2 linked regions of the Sus scrofa genome follow. The protein of the gene in region 2 purifies or fractionates together with the protein of the main gene of each other region. This does not show direct contact. Links are inferred from orthologs where the notes say so. Each region holds a gene or a part of one and is shown on either strand. Other genes may lie near its edges.

Region 1 (4,207 bases), on a different chromosome or scaffold from region 2:
GGCCCTCCTAGTGGGCAAACATGCAGAGGCAGAGAGATCCAGAGACTGAAGCCCCTGAGCTGCCTACGTTTAGAGGGTTACGGAGACAGGAGTCTGAACACACTTTGGGGCGCTAGTGGAACCAGAGCCTCAAATCCCGGGAGTCTGGGAGGAGTTTTGTCCTCCCCAAGCACCACCTCTCCTGCGGGGTGGAGCTGTCCCAGGTACCAATCCCGTCTTGCGGCCATGAGTCCGGACTCGCAAGGGTTTCTGGGAGTTGTAGTCCCAGGGCTGGGTGGGTGGGGTCTGAGTAACTGCACTTCTGGTTCTCAGCAATGCTAGGGACTGTGGTCACCACCCTGTGCCTCCCCCCTCCCCTCTCCTCCTCGCTCCCCTGCAGGTGTCGTGGCTGGGTGAGGAGCCGGTGGCCGGGGTGTGGTCAGAGAAGGGCCAGGTAGAGGTGTTTGCACTGCGGCGGCTCCTGCAGGTGGTGGATGACCCCCAGGCCCTGGCCACTTTCCTCCGAGATGAGCAGGCCCGCGTGAAGCCCATCTTCGCCTTCTCTGGCCACATGGGCGAGGGCTTTGCACTTGACTGGTCCCCTCGAGTGCCTGGTGAGTCCTTGGGGTGCGCCCTTGTGGCACAGTAGCTAAAGGATCCAGTGTTGTCACTGCAGTGGCTCGGGGTCGATCCCTGGCCCGGGAACTTCCACCTGGGGGCTGAGAGGGAGCAGGCTCTGGGAGGAGCGGGAGTGAGCCATGGCCGGGTGCCAAGACGTCGTTTCCCGACTCCCTCACCCAGGGCGCCTGCTGACCGGGGACTGTCAGAAGAACATCCACCTCTGGACACCTACGGACAGTGGCTCCTGGCACGTGGACCAGCGGCCGTTTGTGGGCCACACACGCTCCGTGGAGGACCTGCAGTGGTCCCCAACAGAGGACACGGTGAGGGAGGGCTGGGGGTCTCGACTCCAAGGTCTTGGGGGAGGAGGGGGCTGGGCGCAGGTCCTGCTGAGGGATCAGGATCTTCAGGGTATGTGGGGTCCACCAGGGTCCCTCAGACTCTGCCTTGTCCAGGTATTTGCCTCCTGCTCGGCCGACGCTTCCATTCGCATCTGGGACATCCGGGCGGCGCCCAGCAAGGCCTGCATGCTCACCACCCCCGCCGCCCACAACGGGGATGTCAACGTCATCAGCTGGAGCCGGCAGGAGCCCTTTCTGCTCAGTGGCGGGGACGACGGAGCCCTCAAGGTCTGGGACTTGCGGCAGTTCAAGGTACAGTCCCAGCTGGGCCCCAGGGGAGAAGCCCTTGCTTCCTGCAGCCGCTAGGATCTGTGGGGTTTCCCTCCTGTGGGGTTTATACACTGGTGCCGGGAAGGCCCTTTGAATCAGGGAACAGATGGGGCACCAGGCTCAGCAGGGACCAGGCTTGGGGCTGCAGTGGGGTTGCTCCATGCCAGCTGGAGCGCTGTCAAGAGGGGCAGGTGGTGGCAGGGACTCCAGCCGTCGCGCCGTGCTGCCCAGGGCCTCCGGGGCTTCAGAAGATCATAGTTTTGCTTCCAGTGGATTTCACAGCATGACTGGGAGAGGGACCCGAGGTGAAGAAGGGGCAGAGGCACACGGGGAGGGGGTGCGGTATTGCCAGCGAGGAGTGGACCTTGTAGAACTGTGGGGCTGGGGCAGCCTCTGGTGTCTCCCTAGACAGAGCCAGGGCTTCATGCACCTCTGTGCCCTCCCCAGATCATCTTTTTTCTTTCCCCAATGGAAGGGAGAAACTTCTGGAAAGGGAGCCCCCAAGGCAGGAGGTTCAGGGCCAGGTCATATGGCCAAGTGGATTGGTGGTTGGAACTTTGGAACCACCTTGCCAAATCACAGAGGCTCTGATCCCCACCTTTGCTTTAGTAAAAGTGCTATGCTCTGCATCAGCCTTCTCTGGAGCCCGGGAATGTTTTCGTTTGGTTTTGGTTTGGGTTTTTTTGTCTTTTTAGGGTCACACCCACAGCATATGGAGGTTCCCAGGCTAGGCGTCTAATCGGAGCTCCAGCTGCCAGCCTACACCACAGCCACAGCACCAAGGGATCCAAGCTGTGTCTGAGACTTACAATGCAGCTCATAGCAACGCCAGATCCATAACCCACTGAGCGAGGCCAGGGATGGAAGCCGCATCCTCATGGACACTAGTTGGGTTCATTACCACTGAGCCACACGGGAACACCTTGTTTTGCTTTTTGGTCATCCACGTGGCATATGATAGTTTCTGGGCCAGGAATTGAACCGTGCCACAGTAGTGACAACACCAAATCCTTAACTGCTAGGCCACCAGGGAACTCCCAGCCTGGGAGTGCTTTTGTCACCTTTAAGGCCTTCTGGGATGAACCTGGAGAGCCACATGTTCCTTTCATAGGAAAGGAAACGGAGGCAGGCCAGGCAGGAGCGAGGGGGGGTTCTGTGACCTAGAGCTGGGCAGGGCCTCTTGGCAGGTGAGGGCACTGCAGCCCCTGAGACATTACACCTTTGCGACCAGCTGCAGTTTGCCCTCTGTCCCTTTCAGAGAACCTGGGTTCGTGGGGGCACAAGGGGTGGAACCTTGGTTGAATCCCAAGGCTGGAGAAGGGTGGGGTACTCTGCCCAGGTCACCCCAAGAGTCAGGCTGAGGGGCTCAGAGGCCCTGACTCCGATCTTCCCACAGTCGGGCTCCCCAGTGGCCACCTTCAAGCAGCATGTGGCCCCCGTGACCTCGGTTGAGTGGCACCCCCAGGACAGCGGGGTCTTCGCGGCCTCCGGAGCAGACAACCAGATCACCCAGTGGGACCTGGCCGTGGAGCGGGACCCCGAGGCAGGCGACACGGAGACCGACCCCGGGCTGGTGGGCCTGCCCCAGCAGCTGCTGTTCGTGCACCAGGGCGAGACGGACCTGAAGGAGCTGCACTGGCACCCGCAGTGCCCCGGGGTCCTGGTCAGCACCGCCCTGTCGGGCTTTACCGTCTTCCGCACCATCAGCGTGTGAGGCCGCCCGCCGCCTGCCCGCCCGCGTCTGTCTGGTCCTCCGCTCGGGAGCGGAAGTTAAGTTCCTTCCCCTGGAGGGGACTCTCTCAGATCTGGAGGGGAGGCCAGCCCCCCCCCTCCGAAGGGACTTAGTTTGGCCGGTTGACCGCCCCGATGGATTCCATTTGACTTGGAAAGGTGTTGGTTTGGTCCAGTGACCCTTCCAGCCGAAGGATGTGGTTTGCCCCGTGGCCCTATAAAACCACTGGGTTTGACCCCACTGACCCCTCCTACCCAAGGACTTGGTTCAGCCCGGTGACCCCCACCTGTCAGAAGAGTCCATTGGCCCATTTCCCAGGTGGGCCTGAAGGTGGCTGTGTTGCTGCAGATACTCTGTTAGCTGCATGCCACTGGGCTTGACCCTTTGACCTCTCAGCCACTGGGCTCCCCCAGGGAACTCGCGTGCTTTGCAGTGGCTGTGCCAAATTTGAGGGCTGGGTTCTTCCAGCCGAATTTGGTTTAGTCCCTGTCCTCCTGCCAGCTGGATGTGGCCACAGAGCTTCCCAGGGAGAGGCTGTGTGGGGCCTTCTCCCCTCCTCCCGAAGGGGGGCGCTTGCAGGGAGGAAAAGTGCGGGCTCCCGAGGGGCAATAAAGGACCAGAGGAGATGCGGAGTGGATTAGACTTGTCCTCCTGGCCACTGGGTCCCTGCTGTATGTGGCCGAACCCTCAGCCCATTAAGTGCTGTCCGGTTCTGTCCTCCCTACATCCTGTTCCACCTGCAGTTCACCCCGGGTCTCTGGGCAGGAATCTCCCATGTGCCCCCCAGCATCTCGGGGACCCAGGGAGCCCCCGTCCCTCTTGTCTCTCCACCACTGTCCTCGTGGTCTCTGTCTCACTCACCATGTCTTTGTTCCCTCATGTGGGTCCCCGTCTTTCTCTGTCGCACTGGCGTCCCCGTCTGTCCTGCGTCTCCTGGCCCCCAAGCTCTGGCTCCCTGCCGCCTCCCCCTTCTGTGTCTCTCCTCCGCCACCGTCTCCTCACCAGCCTGCTTGGGCCGGGGCCCAGCCGCCCTGCCTGGCCGTCCTCCCTGGCTCCCCCTCTGCGGCTCTGGGCTGGCCCCACCCCCTGCCCCCCCTCGGGCCAGGCCTCTGATCTGCTGTGGACGCAGAGGTTGGGCGCCGAGGACAGACGGCAGCCCCTCAGCACCCACGGAGGCCTCCCCTGTGCCCGAGCAGAGGATCCC
Region 2 (3,650 bases):
TATTTCATGCTGTTACAAAATTCTGAAATATGATTCCCCCCCCCAGGAGAGGCTGTAAATTTTTAGCAAAGTCAAATGTCAATAATTCTAATTTTTTTTGTAGGAAGTCATTAATTGCTACTGTAGAGAAACAACTTCTAGGTGAACACTTAACAGCAATTCTTCAGAAAGGTAATTGGCAATTTATAAATAAGAGATTACTTTTTAAATGATAGCAGCAAACAAGTAGAAAATTTTTAAAGATTGCACCTTTGAAAATTTGCTAGCGTGTGGCTGCATTTCTGAGGATGGATGCAACCCACTTTTCCCTAGTCATCACTGTAAACTTAAGGAGGTGCTTCTTTCCTTAAGATACAGAAAGTAAGATGAGAGGACTCTACCAATACCAGTAAAGAAACAGTGGGAATTTGGGGATTTTTTATTTTAATTTGTAAGACTACAGTAATAAGGAAAGGCATTTTTTCACTAAAATGTTTCTGTTCCTAGCATATAAAACCAAGCATTTCTTTTTTTTTGCTTTTTTTTTTTGTCTTTTTAGGGCTGCTGCACCTATGGCATATGGAGGTTCCCAGGCTAGTGGTCCATTTGGAGCTAAGCTACTGGCCTACACCACAGGCAGCACAGCAACACCAGATCTGAGCTGAGTCTACAACCTACACCCCAGCTCACGGCAATGCCGAATCCTTAACCCACTGAGCGAGGCCAGGGATCGAACCTGCAACCTCATGGTTCCTAGTCGGATTCGTTTCCGCTGTGCCATGACGGGAACTCCCAGAACCAAGCATTTCTATTACTCCTAAGTTATCTATGAGGATGTCCTGAATTTTGACAGTGCCACAAATAGGCCAAAGTCTTACCTTTCTTTCCAGTCATCTTTTCTTTTGTGTAAAATATTTTAGAATTTTAATGCAGTTACGCTATTCATTCTGAAAATCAAATGCATTAGAACTTCATTTAAACTTTGCCTATTGGTACATGGGTTTCAATATACCACAGGCCATATCTAATACTCTAAAATATACCTATGTACACTGATGTATATATGGCTGTTACAAATTTGATATGAAGTATATATATTTATGTAAATCAGTTTTTATAAGTTGGTTTATACATGTGATCTGCCATACTAAATAGTATAAACTGCTATATTATTATTTTTATTTTTATGTAAAGTTTTCTATATTTAGTTTTCATTTGGAAAGGTGACTGTCTCTTTGAGTTTAATTCAGAGCACATATCCATATTAAAATCTAGTATCACAGTAATAATTTAACTTAATTTTCATTACAATATCTGATGTTTTCACTTTTTTAATAACAAATACTTCAAAATTCAGGTTTAAATAATCTCCTTGATGAAAACCGAATTCAAGATTTATCTCTCCTATATCAACTCTTCAGTAGAGTTCGAGGAGGCGTTCAGGTTCTCTTGCAACAGTGGATTGAATACATTAAGGTATTAACAATTAACCTGGTTTTTTTTTTTTTTCCTCTCATGGCTTATCATTTATATATCCAGAGTGCATATCAGCTAGCATTTAGTACTCGTGAGATCCAATTTTTTTTAAGTAATGAGAATTTTGAGAGCAGTCAACCTGAGAATGATAGCTGTGTGGAAAATTAGCAATAAAACAGTTACCTTCTTGATGTCTGATGTGATTTCTAGCTCTGATACTCAGAGCAGTGAATGTGGAGAAAGAAATAGGACCTTTTTTCTATCCAAATTTCTTCCCTTTTTTCAATCTTACACTGAAGGCAGATTGCTATTTTCTAAAAATTCAAAGCTCACTTCTTTAAAAGTAGGGAAAAGACCCTAGACACTTCTATAATAATACCCCATTATGATACTGTATACCCAGTGATCATTCATTATTTTGTGATTATAGATGAATGGTATTTTTTCACTATTTTTTTCTTTCCTTGACTTCAAAACTAGCTTTATTTTATTTTAAGTTTTTTGAGATTTTAAAGTATGTGTACCTACTTAAAATATGATTTTTGGATTATTTTCATTGTAGATAATTCAATTCTGGTAAAAAGTGGTTATTTCTGTTTTTTAGGCATTTGGTAGCACTATTGTAATTAATCCTGAAAAGGATAAAACCATGGTTCAAGAATTACTGGATTTTAAAGATAAGGTTGACCATATAATTGATATCTGTTTTCTGAAGAATGAAAAATTTATCAACGCCATGAAAGAAGCATTTGAAACATTTATTAACAAAAGACCAAACAAACCTGCTGAACTTATAGGTATTTTTCCAATTCCTTTCCCCAATTATTTAATGTTCTTCTTTTACTCATAAAATTTGAGTTAATCTGAAATTTTGACAAGGTTGTAGTAAATTAACACCTCATTTATTTGGAGTTACTTAGGTGATGATTTCTTTTTTTTTTATAATTTTTTTTATTTTCCCACTGTACAGCAAGGGGGTCAGGTTATCCTTACATGTATACATTACAATTACATTTTTTCCCCCACCCTTTCTTCTGTTGCAACATGAGTATCTAGACAAAGTTCTCAATGCTATTCAGCAGGATCTCCTTGTAAATCTATTCTAAGTTGTGTCTGATAAGCCCAAGCTCCCGATCCCTCCCACTCCCTCCCCCTCCCATCAGGCAGCCACAAGTCTCTTCTCCAAGTCCATGATTTTCTTTTCTGAGGAGATGTTCATTTGTGCTGGATATTAGATTCCAGTTATAAGTGATATCATATGGTATTTGTCTTTGTCTTTCTGGCTCATTTCACTCAGGATGAGATTCTCTAGTTCCATCCATGTTGCTGCAGATGGCATTATGTCATTCTTTTTTATGGCTGAGTAGTATTCCATTGTGTATATATACCACCTCTTCCGAATCCAATCATCTGTCGATGGACATTTGGGTTGTTTCCATGTCCTGGCTATTGTGAATAGTGCTGCAATGAACATGCGGGTGCACGTGTCTCTTTTAAGTAGAGTTTTGTCCGGATAGATGCCCAAGAGTGGGATTGCGGGGTCACATGGAAGTTCTATGTATAGATTTCTAAGGTATCTCCAAACTGTTCTCCATAGTGGCTGTACCAGTTTACATTCCCACCAAGAGTGCAGGAGGGTTCCCTTTTCTCCACAGCCCCTCCAGCACTTGTTATTTGTGGATTTATTACTGATGGCCATTCTGACTGGGGTGAGGTGATATCTCATGGTAGTTTTGATTTGCATTTCTCTTATAATCAGCAATGGTGAGCATTTTTTCATGTGTTTGTTGGCCATCTGTATATCTTCTTTGGAGAAATGTCTATTCAGGTCTTTTGCCCATTTTTCCATTGATTGATTGGTTTTTTTGCTGTTGAGTTGTATACGTTGCTTATATATTCTAGAGATAAGCCCTTGTCCATTGCATCATTTGAAACTATATTCTCCCATTCTGTAAGTTGTCTTTTTGTTTTCTTTTGGGTTTCCTTTGCTGTGCAAAAGCTTTTCAGTTTGATGAGGTCCCATGGGTTTATTTTTGCTCTAAGGTCTATTGCTTTGGGAGACCGACCTGAGAAAATATTCATGATGTTGATGTCAGAGAGTGTTTTGCCTATGTTTTCTTCTAGGAGTTGGATGGTGTCCTGTCGTATATTTAAGTCTTTCAGCCATTTGGAGTTTATTTTTGTGCGTGGTGTGA

Evidence for each region. Proteins that work in one complex are often made in the same cells at the same time.
Region 1: the proteins of CUL4B (region 2) and GRWD1 purify together in Homo sapiens (co-immunoprecipitation; 4 studies listed by BioGRID and IntAct, with this or other methods). This does not show direct contact. The link is inferred for Sus scrofa from reciprocal best matches to the Homo sapiens genes CUL4B and GRWD1.

Annotation. Positions count from the first base shown.
Region 1 is NC_010448.4:53,852,595-53,856,801, forward strand, and holds the end of GRWD1 (glutamate-rich WD repeat-containing protein 1), read left to right. Parts: intron 1-379; coding exon 380-593; intron 594-780; coding exon 781-923; intron 924-1,055; coding exon 1,056-1,253; intron 1,254-2,667; coding exon 2,668-2,985; 3' UTR 2,986-3,635; downstream 3,636-4,207. UniProt on the Homo sapiens protein: Histone binding-protein that regulates chromatin dynamics and minichromosome maintenance (MCM) loading at replication origins, possibly by promoting chromatin openness.
Region 2 is NC_010461.5:98,685,457-98,689,106, reverse strand, and holds part of CUL4B (cullin-4B), read left to right. Parts: intron 1-103; coding exon 104-171; intron 172-1,336; coding exon 1,337-1,455; intron 1,456-2,059; coding exon 2,060-2,252; intron 2,253-3,650.